Oryza sativa Japonica Group: one gene and its partner. The protein of the gene in region 1 interacts with the protein of each later gene in a pairwise test. Links are inferred from orthologs where the notes say so. Each region holds a gene or a part of one and is shown on either strand. Other genes may lie near its edges.

What was found.
Region 2: the proteins of guanine nucleotide-binding protein alpha-1 subunit (region 1) and protein THYLAKOID FORMATION1, chloroplastic interact in binary tests that used the Arabidopsis thaliana proteins (3 or more experiments, as listed by UniProt). The link is inferred for Oryza sativa Japonica Group from reciprocal best matches to the Arabidopsis thaliana genes GP ALPHA 1 and PSB29.

The regions. Positions count from the first base shown.
Region 1 is NC_089039.1:15,699,683-15,707,780, forward strand, and holds the start of guanine nucleotide-binding protein alpha-1 subunit, read right to left. Parts: upstream 5,001-8,098; 5' UTR 4,659-5,000; intron 3,292-4,658; 5' UTR 3,212-3,291; coding exon 3,119-3,211; intron 3,021-3,118; coding exon 2,948-3,020; intron 2,699-2,947; coding exon 2,661-2,698; intron 2,580-2,660; coding exon 2,490-2,579; coding exon of another isoform or gene 2,471-2,489; intron 2,342-2,470; coding exon 2,264-2,341; intron 1,710-2,263; coding exon 1,602-1,709; intron 1,519-1,601; coding exon 1,417-1,518; intron 715-1,416; coding exon 659-714; intron 480-658; coding exon 345-479; intron 269-344; coding exon 175-268; intron 89-174; coding exon 29-88; intron 1-28. Other genes in the region: chaperone protein dnaJ A7A, chloroplastic-like, read right to left, coding at 7,791-8,098. UniProt on the Arabidopsis thaliana protein: Exhibits a fast rate of basal nucleotide exchange. Guanine nucleotide-binding proteins (G proteins) are involved as modulators or transducers in various transmembrane signaling systems.
Region 2 is NC_089041.1:22,547,309-22,555,570, forward strand, and holds protein THYLAKOID FORMATION1, chloroplastic, read right to left. Parts: upstream 5,215-8,262; 5' UTR 5,096-5,214; coding exon 4,930-5,095; intron 3,953-4,929; coding exon 3,682-3,952; intron 3,239-3,681; coding exon 3,022-3,238; intron 1,897-3,021; coding exon 1,781-1,896; intron 1,488-1,780; coding exon 1,394-1,487; 3' UTR 1,053-1,393; downstream 1-1,052. UniProt on the Arabidopsis thaliana protein: Involved in a dynamic process of vesicle-mediated thylakoid membrane biogenesis. Required for the normal organization of vesicles into mature thylakoid stacks and ultimately for leaf development.

The DNA of each region.
Region 1 (8,098 bases):
ATGCATTGGTACAAAGAGCAGGCCTTACCTTTTGTATTTTCTTCTCGAATATATCAAATTTGTTGAGAAACAGAATGAATGATGTTTTCTGATGGTCAATATAGCACCGTAATTAGTTTCAAAATGAGAAAAAAAGCATGAGCACAAAGGTTGCAGAGATGGATGCATGCAGACCTCAAAACATCTTTGCTTTAAAACCCAGTCAAAGAGTTCCTTGGTCTCCATCATTCTGTTTTTTGTCTCATCTTCAAATAGCATCTGATCATATCTGAAATGAACAAGAAGCCTATGAGAAGAACTTAGCAGATTAGGATAAGTTCAACAATCAAAAAAATTGTACTTACTCGCTAATGGCAGCACAAAAGATTACCGCATTAACACCTTCAAAAAGATGAATCCACTTTCTCCTCTCATTCCTCTGGCCTCCTACATCATACAACCTATATACCTCTCCACCTCTTTTGTTTTCTCCAACAGGACTGCAGAAAGAAACCCAGTTAACTAGATGATTCAACTCATCTTAAAACAGCTACATTCAGAACCTCTCAGGTCATATCTTAGAAGTGAAAGGGGAGAAAAAAAGGACTTCAACTTGTCGTTCTGTACATAGTAGAGCAACCAGCAAAAAAATGTGCAAAAAATAGTGTCAGCAGATTACCTAAATTGTATTTGTACAACACCATTTGTCCGTACTCTTGCATAAAGCACATCCTCCTGCAAAATGACTCATAATATTGACAACTATAATACTGCAAGCATTCTTAAGTATGGAAGATCAACTACCAGCCTTTCAAACGAACCATTAGACAAGGTACAATCACAAATTATCCATCAGACTGCTAAATGCAGAAATATGGAGTCATATCTTCACTTAGCACACACAATGTTAATTGGAATTTTGATGCAGTGTGGACTTAAACAAGTGACAAACAATTTTCTATGCTTAAGAAATGACGGGAAATGGTTGCAAAAGTGGATGGTACAGTGATCATATTTGTGGTTTGCAACTTATTGAAGGAACTGAACAAAAAAAATATATGCTAGTGTCATAAGATTAATATGTGGGAACTCAAAAGCTCAAGGTGCTTAGATAAGTAGAGTTTTATTCACAGCAGTTTTGCACCCTATGTTTCACAGGGACATTTTTTACCTTCGTTATGTAGACTGCGTAATAACGGTAGAATAATAGTTTCTCCTCCCTAATATTGAATTTTAAAGGATAGCCTCCAATATTATTTAAAAGATAAGGATAAACATATGCCCATCTTTTAAAACTATTTGGCAACCTCTGACTCAGTACACATAGTTAACCATTTGACAACCTCTGACTAAGTAGACTAAAAATCAACATGAAATGGTGTCAGCACAAATATCTGAGAATATGTAAATAATTGTCTATGAACATGGACAGCACACCTTTGTTGGCACATAACCTGCTTCAGCTAATCGATCCAAATTTTCCATGAAGTATTGTGCACAATCAGGAAGTTGCAGAATACTTCCACGTAAGTAAGTTTCCTACAGTATAGAGCATTGCTTCAGCACACCTGGCCAGGAAAACTATATAACTTCAAAAGATTTGAATGGCTATTTGTTTTCACCTGAATGGCTGGGTCTTGCCATAACCTTTTTACATCGAGTACAAGTTCTTTGTTCAGCAGTGGATAATCCAACCTGCCATCAATATCTGATAGTTTTTCTCCAATTTCCTGATGATATGACAAAGTAAATGACATCTAAGAAACAAAATTGGTTGGTAAGGTGTACAGTGTGAAACTGGTGATATTTGTCTTTCAATGCCTAAGAAAAGTCAGTTTTCCTTTAAAGTTCCAAAGCAACGGAACAAGGTAAATGCACAAAGGTATACTTTTTTTAACCTGGTTGAGAAAAAAATTGAATCTTATAACACCCACATTTGATACCAAGTTATTTTTAGCATATCAACAATTGTCTGAAGCAATCAAATAAACAAGGAAGAATAAATGTTACAAAATCTCATTGTTCTTTTCTACTTTGTTCAGTACATTGTACGGTTCAATAGATATCTTTTTCAAGTTTTCATTATAGAATGACCGTGTAAAATATAAGACTACAATAGAGCCGAGCACAGTCTACAAGGTCTTAACAGGTTAAAACATAGAGCCGAGCAGCTTGACTACAACAGAAATGTTGCAAATCAAAATGTTTGTATTCCCAGATTTAACAAGACATGTTCATATGCACAGATTTAGCTTTAACTGTTGAGTAAAGAGTAAGCACAAACCTGGTTATCTGGGGATATAACATACTTTGAGGAATCTGATTCCACTTGTGAGAGTTCTTTTGCTCCTTCATATAGTATCTGTTAACATTTAACACATTACTCGACAAAAAGGAAAAGTATGAACGCATTTCCTTATGAACAGAATACAAATCCCTAGTCGAATCTCCTACATAATCCCCACTTTGCAATAAGAAAAAAAAGACACACCCTTTCCAGTATTGCATACTTTAATTGTCTGATAGACGTTTGCATGGATAACTGATGTGTAGCTCCTAAGTTCTGCCTCATCAAAGCCAGTTTGGAAAAGGAGCTTAATCTGCAGGTGAACAGTAAGAATACATCAGACTAACTAGCGGCGTACGGATTATGATTCTCCATGGAATATAACATTCATCACCTGTTTAAATATCGTAGACTTCCCTGATTCTCCCGCACCTTAAAACAGAAGCAATTGAGAGAGAGAAAGAAGGATGGATCCACATTGAGAACAAGTTCAAACTAAAAATTTCTAGGATACATTTATTTATCTTCTTTTTTTTTGGAAATAACATGAGAAAGGTTTTTTTATAGAGGTAAATAGGAACAACATAAACAATTAATTTTCTGAACCAATAGATACTAAAGGTAGCACAGATAATTGTGACAAGGAAAATGACCACTTAAATTTGGGAAAGTTAGCAATACCAAGAAGTAAGAGCTTGTGGATGTGTTGCTCTGCTTTTGTCTCTTGCAAAATTCGCCTGTCAATGTCTGCAGACTGTTACCAGCTGAATTAGAAGAAACCAAATGTGGCAACTCTCAAATCAAGAATTGAGTTAGCATTTACTTGTTCAATAAGTCCGAGTGCTAACTTACTTTTGCATTTTTGGTTGTTTCAGCCTCACTTAAAGAATGAGATCTGCTACAGGATGAGCCCATGTTATCAAGCACACAGGTAAGCACGGACATTATTTTAGAGGTATGCTCTCATGCCTGAGCCTCTCTCTTTCCAGGAAGCACGTTGACGTCTAGATCTCAGGATCCATGAGCTGCATACATGAGCAGTAAGCTCGAGCGAAATGTGGCCAGCATTTGAAAAGAAAAGATTGTACAGAGTAATGGTTTGCATAGTTCAATATTGCTGACCCACATTGTTATACATATCCAGAAATATTATATGAAGGAAAAACATTAGTAACCATTTTCCGACCAGGATTCATTTCCGACCAGGATCCATTTCAATCACTGACACTTAATAAATAATACGTGAAAATATTTAGAAATACATCAATATCATTGTTTAATAATAATACATCAACATCATTGTTTATTAATAATATTTTTCCTTGCGACGGTGGGGAATGGGGGCAAGGAAAGGGAAGGTGGGGGGATTGGATGGTTTGAGTGACTCGGGGAGGGAAGTGGAGCGAAGCCTCCCGGGAGATAAGATTTGCGCAGAGGCACGCGTGGCCTACGCATTGGCACCGCTGGCCTCCATTTGGGCCGTCGGCTTCACATCTGACGGGGTTGGTGTCGAGGGCTCGGGGCCCCGGTTTTTGCGTTTTGAGGGAAATGCGTTCCATATGTTTCCGACGAGGAGTATTCCAGAATAATACCTACTACATTTTTTATTTCTTTTGATGAAAGTAGGTAAGGTGTCTATTTTGATTGGTAATAAAGAACATAGTTTACATAAATATTACATATGCTCTAGCAGATAAATAGTTAAAACATAACGATTTTTTACCATAACGGTGGGGGGAGCCAAACTAGAAATTAAGAAATTAGGAGTAAACATTAACCAAAAGTGCATTCTATTGTTATTAGATTGTACTTGGCATATATCATTTTGTTTTTTTATTCCAAACTATAGTTGATTTGAATTTACTAATTACCTAATTTAAATATCTATATTATTAGTCTAAATTATTTTTAAAATTAAAAATATTAAAATATTACAGATATATCACAATGTTTTAGGGACGGGAAGACAAAGTACGTTCAATGGTTTCAATTTATAACCTGATAAAGAAAGAATGTTAAATTAGATTCATGCCAAGTGTCACAGTATGTCCTTTAGAAAATTTTGTGGAATAAAAATTACTTATAAGAATATACCTTGATAAAAAGATATTTTGTGTGACTATGGGTAGTTTGTGGTCTAGATTCTTCTTAAGAAATTTATGTGAGTTTGGATGAGTACAAATTATGTGAGCTTACATTTTTCGTTCTAAGGGTGTTTGGATGAGATTCAATAACCAAATTACATCTGCTAAAAACGGAAATCAAAATTAACAACTTGAAAGTAGGTGGAGCTGGGCAGAGGCAGATCTAACCCTGTTTCGGTTGAACCCCCAAACTTTTTGAGGGATAACGCAGAATACCTGATGAGGTGTGGGTAGGGAGGGATGCTCACCGGCGAGCGACGATGCGGTGGAAGAAGGAGGACGCCGGGCGCCACCTCTGCTCGCAGGATGGGGATCGGCGCAAGCGGCGGGCGAGGAGACGAAATTCGAGGCCGAGGCCGGATGGGATGGATTAGGATGCGAATGCGGCGGGAGCAGGAGGACGCCGGCGCCACCTCTGCTAGCAGGATGGAGATCGGCGCCAGCGGCAGGCGAGGAGACGGGAGTCGAGGGCGGCGGGCGAGGAGACGGGACGGATTGGGGAGGCGGAGGTCGTGCAGCGCTCTGCTGCCGCGTTGTCGCCTGCCTATGGGTCATATGCACAGGCGCCTCATCTCCCAAAAAAGTTCATCTAAGGTCCCTTATCTTGTCGTTGAGTTTTAAACGGCCCTGAACCCCTAATCTTGCAAAACGGTCCACTTTTAATCCCAAGGTAGTATTGCTTTCCGGTTTTGTTGACGTGGTGGCTGAGTCAGTGCAGGGCCCACGTGGAACCCACAAGCCAACTAGCAATCTTCTTCCACCTCACTCCCCTCTACTCCTATCTCAACCCAAACCTCTAGGGCATTCGCCAATGGGTGGGGAGAAGGGTGTCGGTTGGCAGGGAAAAGCTCAACGGCGGAGGCCGCCAGCTGACGTGGCTCCTAATGACCGGGAGCGCTCACGTCATGGACTTGCGCACGTGCGGGGTGTGGCGGGTCCCAACTACAACTGCTCGCCTTCTCCCCACCCATCGCCAGGCGCCGTCGTCGGGCACCGGCCACCACACACCTCTCCCACGATTCAGCGTCCTCTTCACATACAACTGCTCGCCTTCTCCCCACGCATCGCCAGGCGCCGTCGTCGGGCACCGGCCACCACACACCTCTCCCACGATTCAGCGTCCTCTTCGCTCCATGACGCAGCCGTCAAGAGCCCAGGGTGACTCACACCTTCCCTCCCTCGTGGGCCAAAGTCGGGAGGATGTTTGCATCCATATTCGATCGAGGGAGAAACCTCATTTTCTCCAGCAGCCGAAACATGCCAACTCCCGCCCCCCCGCAGCTGGGGTAACAAGCTCACGCCACCGAGCTCGCCAGGAGCGATGCGAGCGCGTCGTCTTTTATGCCGGTGTCAGTCGTCATAGATTTTCCATGTGGTACTAAAAACTTCGTTTTTGTGCGTGACAGTTGCGCGTAGAATATGTATGGGCTTTGCACGCACGCCGGCCCGAAGTCTCGAAATTATCCAGGATCATCATGCGCCGTCCCTCGTGAAGGCCGCCGCCGCCGGGTCCGTCGCCGGCGAACAGCGTGGCCACCGCCATAAGCCACCCGCTGATCCGCCCATGCACAACAGCCCATCCTGTTGCAGCCACTCCTCGCCGCCGGCACAACCACCACCACCGGGCTTTCTCACCGACACCACCGGCGACGGCAGCGGCAGCCTGACGGCCAATGTTCTGCACAATGTCAATCTCCTGCATATCAATCACACTCCCAACCCTGAAATGGTGGAATACCTGCTAGTATTCCACTGCAGATCAAACACTTTCCTTTGGTTGGCTTGTAGAGTAGAGATAGGGTACAGTCTGCAAACAGAATTGGTTCATCGGCACTGGATATAGGATACAGCTTGCATTGCAACAGAGTTTGCAGAATGCATGGCTTTACTAAAGAGGGATCACCCTTACAATTTTTGCGCTGTTTTATTGGACTGAAAATTAACACAAATCAATGTACCCAGTGACTTGCCATCAGCCAAGCAGCTGTCTTTTCGGTTTCCAGATTGGATTCGGGTAAAGTTTAAGACTCCGGAAGCAGGAATTTTAGGCACTGTATTGCCATTAGATAATCGGGTGGATAATATACATATTGGTTTGCCAAACACTTGGAACAGGCCACAAATTTCGAGTTAACTTTTATTTGATTGAGGATTTCACAACCGGTTTATACAAGGTCTAGTACCCAAGAGAATAATAGCGTACTGAACAAACAAAGGGACAGGAAAGAACAAGGGCTGCTTCTGTCAAGAACCATGGTCACTTGAACATAAATGCAAGGTGAGATAAAACGATAATGGCGTTAGAAGAGGGAAGGAAGAAATGATCAGAAGCAGCAGGCTACTGGCATTGACACTTGATGGTGTTAACGATAATGTTAAACAAGTCGACACGAAAAAATCACTACTACTCCTACTCCTAAGCCTCAGTGAAGGAGGAAACGGAGAACATCTCTCTCGCATTGCAGTAAATGGTACTGCTGGTGCTGGACTCCTCACGTTTCTCAGCTGTTGAACGCTGGAGGTAGAACAGTAGTAGCACTGGTAAACAGTGGAAGTAAAATTTCATTTATGGATTATTAATTTGCTATTAAAGGACAGTTTAAACTGATCTAAAGCCAAGCTAACATGGTGAACTTTTGTGGCTAACGCAAGTATGGAAGGGTTGCCATACAATGTACAAGCTAACATGAACGTTATTGAAGCTGAAAAAACTATAATGTAATACTCCTATATCCTACTGACATGTCTGCACCATATATTGATCCATGAGACTCATTCCTGACTGGCCTTTTACTGGCACATGCATGGAACAATCAGCTTAAAGTTAACAGTCAGCTATACTGCATTTAGCTGCACGCCTGCACTACAACAGATTTTGCAACTGCCATTACATTGGCTAATAGAGAAAGCTAGCATACAGTTGAAAACCAAACGGAACAAACCCCCAACGCTTAAGAGCACATGAAAACCTGCTGCCAAAACTTTGATGTTACAGCTTACAATAACAATCAGAATGGTCTGGTGCTTCTGCGACAAACAAATGTTTCAAAACTCGTCCCTTTTGCACCATTAAATATTTCTCCCTAGGCCTTTCAAAATTGTGAAAAAGTATTATGAAAAATAGACTAATAAGCTCGCCTAAAAGCATATGACAAGCTACTGTAAAACACCATCCGTTTTGGTGTTTTGGATGGAACTAGATTTCTATGGCTTAAAAATGAAGTTACAGACATGAGAATTCACAGTTCCCACCGATGGTACGGCGCAGCATGAGCGTACAGTTTGTGAAGTGATTTACCAGTTCATGCTCACTTAGTCACTGCAATTTGCGTTAAAATTGCATATTGCCAAAGCATTTTGTCCAATGAAGCCTCATGGAATTATCTCCTGCTGTTTGCTGTTTGAGCCTTGTTTAGGTTTGCAAGTTCTTCAATCAGCTTCCTCTCGTCGCTGCTCAGACGCTTTGGAATCTCGACCTGCACACGCACTAGCTGGTCTCCACGAGCATTTGACTTCCCGAGGAGTGGGACACCTTTCTTGGACATCACTAACGTTGTGCCTGGCTGGGTACCGGAGGGGATCTTCAGGTCAACCATCCCATCAACAGTGGGAACCTTGACGGTTGTCCCAAGAATTGCGTCAATATATGAAACTTTGCATGTGTATAGAATGTTTGTCCCATCTCGCT
Region 2 (8,262 bases), on another chromosome or scaffold:
GCTTATAACACATTCGCGGTGTTATCTCCGCGTGGCAGATCGGACGGTGCAGAAGGGGGCTGTGATCTATCTGACGGCCACGGTTGGCTCTGCCTTATCCGGGCCTTATCTGTATGGCCCTATGGATGGGGAGGTTTGCCATGGGGTTGGTGACACGTGGAGGGCTGGGATTGGGTGATGGGGGTTTTGGAATGCTTTGTGATTTGTGGTCTTCAGGGTGGATGGGCCCCAAAATATCGGGCGAAAATAAATCTTTTGGCTGTTTTGCAGCTCTGGCACCTTTGTAAGTTGAGTTAGCATTTCAGTCCTGAAATCACAATGCAGCAATCTGTGAATGGACAATGGAGTTTGTAAAGCTCTTCTTGGAACACGCAAATTTTATATGTTGGGTCAAGACTCAAGAGTTTCATTTTTATCTTAAGATTATGGATAGAAATCCGGACTTTATATCCACTTATGGATATACACTGCCAAGATTAAGAGTTCTATTTGCCAATCAATTCAGTTGAAGGCGAGTTATTTGAAAAGATGGCATCCAAGAAGGGAAAAAGAAATCTATAAGTTTTAGAATCGCCACGCCATTGCCGTTTGAATTCATGCAGTTCAAATTTGGGAGAGGATTGCTTCAATTTCTGTCATGTTGGATGGACATGCAAACGGCTAATGTTTCAATTAACTTAAAGTATTCTTGGATTATTTAGGGCAATTTATTTCTGGTAGGTTGTAAGGTACATTTTATTTACAGATTACTAACTTGTTTGGTAGAGCTCTAAGTCTAATATGGAGCTAAAAAAAAAAACTTAATATGGAGCTGAAGTTGTGAAACTAGAAAATGGTAGCTCCACCCTTCATATATATTTTGTGAAGCAGATCCATCCACTCCACTCTTAGGAGGATCTAGGAGTGTTTGGTTTGGCTCCTGCTCCACATAACAAGAATCTAGAGCTAGAACCCAACCAAACAAGTCCTAGATTTTCTGGCATATGATCCAATGCAGAAAAGTCTTCCTGCTCGTTTCCACCACTGATATTCCTGATACATACAGATCCAAAGAAAGAACTTGTGACCGATTTCATTTTCATCATGAAGAGATAACTGAACAATATATTTTTCATCTTGTGAGTAACATTGATCCCCACATACCTCTTCATATATTGTCAAAGAAAAGGAAAACGATACATTTGAACACTGAAAAGGAGAATTACAAAAAAAATATAATGCTCAGTAGTAAGAACAATCTGGATCCTTTTATACGGCAGAATACAAAACCACACGAGAGCAGCCAAAGTGTCCGTGCAGTGAAAGGTGACCTTGATAGTTTCTCAACGTGATCCAGAACTCTGTTAAAATCTGTTATCCACGGTAGCACTCACTCCCCTTATGAAGGCTTGAGTTAATGCCTCATGGAATTGAGACTCCCGTCAAATTTCGTAACAGCTTCATTCGATTTTGGGGTCTCTGATCTTTCCTCTCTCTTCTTCTTTTCCCTGCCAACAAAGTTGAGTTCAACTCGTTGAGATGATCAGTTTAACACAGAAAAACTGGGGAGGATACAAAATGTAAAGAGAAGGCAATATAAACTAATCCATTTGCCTGGGCTCATTGAAAGAGGAGAGATTTATGTGCTAAACAGTAAACTTCAAGTATAAAGCTATTAATATCACACAATTGTTGCAAAATAAAATTAGGAACATCCCTCGTGCGTTAGTAATATCAGTGATTGAACAAATCAGGGTTTGGGCAGTAAGAGAAGTGGGAAATCAGCGGATAAGTTGGTTACCTTTCCACGTATTCCTTGAGAAGTTCCTTAGCCTGGACCAATTTGGAGAGTATGTTCCGGTAAACATCGAGATCCCTGTCGACACTTCTTTTGTTGATGTTTAGAGCAGCGCAAAGCTGTCAAGGAAGCCATTGAAAATATTAGTGAGGTAAGTAGGTAACATCAAAGTGCACATTACATTTTGAGTTCACCAAATGACAAACATAACTGGCTTAAATGTTTCCTGAAATTATCATTGGACACTGAAAAAATTACTTGACTTGTACTATACTAGAATGCCTCAAGAATGCTTTTGGAGTTTTATCCTGTATGGAATCTCCCTATCTCCAATGAGTCCTCCCACAGAAAAGTCCAGATATGCCCCCAACATTGGTACTAAGTTAGAAGCCAAAACTGAACTCGAACCTCCTTAGTGCTATTTCCTATTCTGGCTTAAGAAACATCATAAATAATAGAAACCATCACAAACTTGAATTGTCAGTTGATCACATGCCATAACGATTAGAACATTTGCTAACCTCAACGTTTGAGGAGAAATATTTAGGAAAGCAGTTCGTGCGCACTCAGCTAGGGTAGTTAGATTTTAGAGGTGGGAGCTGTGGTTCTGAAGTGATAGGAATGAATGATGGAGTCGAGTAAGAGGCTTAGTCAATAGGAAAGTATGATGGAGTCGAGTCAGAGGCTTAGTCAATAGGTATGGAGGGCATGTTTGGTAGAGCTCCAACTCCTAAAATTTAACTCTAGGAGTTGGGTTCGGAGTGGAGTTGTGGAGCTGCCTAAACCCAAGCTCCACCTCTCTAGTTCATTTTGTGAGAGCGCTCCACCCAGCTCCACTCCCATTTTAGGTGGAGTTGAACTATTTGGCTGGGCTCCAACTCCAGGAGAGGCGGAACTGGAGTTAGAACTGTGCCAAACAGGCCCGTACGCTGTAGGATGGAATAGAGTCAGACTTAGTCCTTTACTAGTAATCTAGCATATCAGCGAAGTAGTAGGTTAAAAAGAACACCGCATAGACACTTAACCAGCTGTGGTTGCAAGATATTAGACAGCAGACACAAGCCAACCCCTTAATTGATTTGAGATAAATCCTTTCTTTCTGCGAAAACTAAAATGTATTGGAAACATGCTCTCTAAAATATAACTTGAGAAACACACATAAGCGTTATTAGAAGATATAATTTGGAAGTGAAGCAAAAATAAGTATGATAGTCAGAAACAAAATTATTAATGGCAATAACAACCTTGTCTAGTATGGTTGGCTCTGTTGCATTTGCAAGCTCAAGCAAACGGAACAAGCCAACTGCAAAGAACCGGCTGTAGCTGAAGCTTCCCTTACCCTGGGCCCTTTCTGAAATATCTTTCAGAATGGCCTCTATTTCTCCATCTTTGGATGAAAACTCAACTAAAGAATTACCATTCTGGGAACGAGCCCACTCTTCCATCTTTTGTGCGTCAGCTCTGAAGAAAGAACAGAAAACACTTACTATGATTGCTTGGAAAGACACCTCTGTTGATGCCAAAACAAACTAGTAACCCAATAATACATTAGCTTTCATTGACGCAAATAAAGCAGATAATTGGTGATCCACAAATAAGCAAAGCATGCAACAAATAGATAGTGCAAAATGTGACATTTTTTACAGCGGCAAGATAGATAATTGCTACTATCTCTATAGGAAAAGGCTATGGTTGACATATGAATTCAACGAATTGGGGGTAATATTTATGCTGAAAATTCATGGCTGTGAATTATATAAATCTATAAAAAAATTACTTGGATCAATTAAGTGTAGGATATTGTTTGAAGGTTCAATTTGGTTATGAGAAATCTAATTGAATATAAAACAAGAAGATGCTAACATCACTGTGAATAAAAAACAGTTGTAAGTTACAGTAGGCACCTGTATTGCTCAGGGTCTTCGTTTAACGCTGTTATATATGCTTTGAAGATTGCATCCCTATCCTCATTGCTAGGGTACCCTTCCATGAGTTGGTCATAGACGGTCACAAAACCAAGAGCAAACACCGCATCATATTGATATGTTGTTTTGTATCTCATCAGATGTTGCTGTACCAAAAGTTCTTGTAGAACTGTACTGTAAATGCTTAGGATAGGACGCTTGTATGACTTGAGAAAATTCATCTTTGTTTCTGCGACAGTGGGTGGAACATCTGCACAATATTCAGAACAAGTGAAAAACGCTGTGGCGATAACTTGTTCATCATGCTGTGTACAATATGTTATAAGTTAGTTGCTGCCTTTGTGATCATAATAACTGAAAACATTTGGACATACAATGATCCAGTATCAAATACTTGACAAGTAATCGGCACTTGCTCGATGAATTGAAGAAAGTTGACAGGAAAGGGGGCAGAAGCAACAGAACACCATGAAGAAACTGTGGAACGAAATGAGCGGAAATATGTAAACGCATCAAATCGTTCTACAAGGAAGCATTTGGCAGTTTACTGCCACAATTCAACAGAAAAGCAGGAATCATAGGCCTGAACAGCTAACCAGGGCTTGTGAGGTTTGGCTAACATAAGATGATTGGCGCAAATACACAACTGATCCTGTTTCTCTGCTCCGGGGTCTCCCCGGCTCGACAGTTTAATGTCGTGTAAACTTGTAAACTCTCCTTTCATTCTTAATGAAATTTGGTCGGCTCCTTCGCCGACCCGGCAAAAAACAAATACACAACTGAATAGTCCTACCCTTCGCTATTTGTGGATCAAAATCAGCTAGATTGTTGAAAATCACATATGGCTAAACTAGTGATACGAAATTCTAAAAAAATTCCCAAGCTCGCATCTAAAACAGACATGAATTCCCTGCTAGAAAGAATAACCAAGCATCAAAACCGCATGGATACACAACTACAAATGCTAATTGTTCACCCAAAAATCACAGTTGCCAGTTCTTCCTCCAAACATAGGACGCTAGATTGGCTTGTAGTCCCCGCCACAAACAATCTTGCAGCATCCCCAAGAAGAACCAGGATCCAGATTTTGCTAGTGAAACCCCCACGCAAAAAGAGAAGCTCTTCTGTCGCAATCGAACGCACTACCACTACGTGTTCATCACCGACGCCAGAAGCACCAGTGAGTGAGAGAAAAAAAACAGAGAGAGCGCGAGCGAGCAAGCTCACCGCCCGCCGTGGCGACGCAGCGCACCACCGAGCGCGACCCCCGCCGGGGCCTCACGCTGAGCACGACGGCCCCCGCCCCCGCCCCCGCCGCCGCCGCCGCCGTCGACGGCCTGCAGTCGGCGGCCCGGCGCAGTGCCGCGAAGGGAAGCGAAGATATGGCCGCCATCGTGGAGTCCCCCGCCCACCTGCTGCCGATTCTCTCGCCGGAGTGCGGCGGCCGCCGGCGAGGGGTAAAACGGTAAATTAGGCGCAAAAAGGCGCGTGCGCGAGAGAGAGGAGAAAAGGCTATACAAGCTTGGGGTTGGAGGGATGGGATCTTCCCATCTTTCTTATCCAGTAGGCCTTGCTCAGGTTTCTCGACCACTACGGAGGCGCCACGTGTCCGCGTCACGCTTTCAAGTAATTTTCCTGAATTTTGGACGAAGTTTTAGCTTTTTTGGGGCGAATTTTTATGGGCGTGAGAGGTGGGATTTGCTTGCGGATTTGTGATTTGGACTTTGAAAAGATCGGAAGCAGTTGTTTTGATGGTTTAGTTTAGGACTTTAGCAGCTAATGACGATGGAAGTGTTTGGTGCGTTGCTACTCTGTCAGTGGTGTGTACGCAACAGAAGTGTTTGATGGTAAGACCGTTTTTGAAATATTTGTCCGTTTGTTTGGTTGATGTTATCCGTTGACGAGATTATATCAGCAAAACAAGTAAAAAAATATCCTGCAACTTGTAAATTTTTATTGAGCTACTAAGGCTGTGTTTGAGGAGAGGAGATAGAGGAGATTGGGAAGATACACAAAACGAGGTGAGTCATTAGCATATGATTAATTGACTATTAAGTATTTTAAACTTCAAAAATGAATTAATATGATTTTTTAAAGCAACTTTCCTATAGAATTTTTTTTTTGCAAAAAACGCACCGTTTAGTAGTTCGGAAAACGTGCGCGCGGAAAACGAAACAAAACTCACTCACAATCACCCAGATCACCTAGGAAAGAAGACAGCCTAAGAAGTCCTTAGGTTGTGTTTTACAGCTTTGAGATGCAAGTTAATCCCTTGCGTACGTAAAATGGAGCGACTCATTAGCATATAGTTAATTAAGTAGTAGTTTAAAAATGAATCACTATGATTTTTAAAAGCAACTTTCGTATAGAAATTTTTTCATAAAAAACACAATGTTTAGCAATTCAGGAAACGTGTACGCAGAAAACAAATGAGGTGGAGCTAGCAACTCACTTTGCCGAACGCAGCCTTATTACAAGGTCTAGCACTTAGGTCATTCACAATACAACTAGTTGTCATTCTCCCTCACCGAATCAGCTCAAAGATTCCCTCCACCTAGCATAGCAAGGAGCCTCGCCAAGATGGGGAGACAATGGCTCCCCGTTCTTCGTAAAAAGTGCAGCTTTTGGGCCCACAAGAGAAGAGGTGAAGAAGGGGGAGGGAGGGGAGAAGTGCCGATGCCGTCTTTCTCCCCGATCTGCGCCGGTCGGAGCTCGTCGGCCGCGTCATGTCACGCCTAGAAATTCCCGAATAAAATTCCAAGCAGAATGTGCATTAAAATCCCCGTCCAGGACCGGCCAGGGTACACAAACGACAATGTTGACATTCAGATCCACGTCTTACAATCATTATAAAAGTCTTACATAAATGCAGCGGAAAAACGAAAGACAACAGGAGCTAAGCCTTGACTAGAACTGCAGCGGGAATACCACTCCACAGGCATCCTCGACGGTACGGACGAAGCCTACTCCTCGGAGAAACCTCCATCTGACACATACTCGTACTCTGGGGTTGGGGAAAAAATAGAGCAAGACTGAGTACTACCCACTGTACTCAGCAAGTCATACCGGAATAGGGGTATGATGCAGGGAATTATCAAAGGAGAGCTAGAGTGGTTCATTTGCATAAAGCGAGTATTTATAAACAGAAGTTGAAAGAATTAAACAGTTGCAATAATTAATTAATATTGATCATCCGCTGTCCAACGCTATCCCACGTTGCAACAGGCCCAACCATCCATCTATACTATCCAATTTCATTAGACTAAACTAGGGTAAGACTAATCACGGTGAATCTGGTTGAGCGCCCATAACCGCGGGCACGGCTATTCGAATAGTTTTACTCTGATCAGAGGTGTACAACTGTACCCACAAGACACAGCCCCACGACACGTTTCCGTGCGCCGACATGCCACCACGACATACCGGAAAGAGGCCGTGACAGGACCCTTCGCATAACCCCCTCTAACCAAGCACACCACACCTCAGGTTTCACCCCCACTCCTCGCAAGGCAGCGGGCAGTCCCCTCTCGTGCCTAGGTGAATCCGGAAGCGACAGAGGCCGTCGCAGGGCCCGCCCCGCTCCATCACGCCCACCCTTGCCTGGATGCGTCAGCTAGAGGAAAGCTACACTACAAGCCCAGCCGTTGCCCACGCTGGCTTGTGGTAAGTACGATAAGTTCTTCCAGGGCATCCCGCGAACCGGTCCTTAACTGCCATGGGTGCGACTAGCAAAACCATGCACCCACAGCCCACCATGTGATTCATTTTAATTAACCAACACCAAAACGGTGGTACTAAACCAACCTTACCAATTGAACCTAAAGTCTATATTTTAGTGAGCTTTCCCCATTGTGTGCTAGTGGAACTAAGCATGGCTAAGCAATTCCTAGTCCAAAATCTATTCATGTTATAACCCAAGCTAACAAAGGAGCATGGTATCAAAAATGGCATGGCTGTAACAATAGGTAAACACCCCATAGTAACATTATAAAACAATGCAATATTTGAAGAAAAACAATAGAGCATTTGCAATATAGGATCAACATGTTCAAGTGACAAGCATGACTTGCCTTGCTCTGCTGCTGGAGAAACCTCGGCGACTATCTCGAAGTACACCGAAGCGTCGGAAGAACCGGAATCTAGCGACATACAAGGGAAACATTGCAAACAGGCTATAAGACTACTGAAACAGAGAACAAAACCATTTTTAATGGATTCTATACATTTTTCTTGATTTACTGAGACTTGAATGGGCTTAAACGGAGCACGGATGAATTAGTTATGAATTTTAGAAGATTCACTGTGTTTATTACTATAACAAAAAGTTCTTAAATCATTTATTGCGTAATAATTCCCAGGACTGACGTCATCAAGGGGGGCGAGGCGCCGACATGCGGGGCCCACCGGTCAGCGGCTCGGGAGAGAGGGAAAAGGGGCGCCGGCAAGCGGGCCCCACTCGGCAGCGGCTCAAGGGGGGTCCACCGTGGACCGGGACCACGCGGGTGGTCCACCGTCGGTCCACGGGACCGACGGCCCAGATCGCCCCCGGGGTTGATCGGA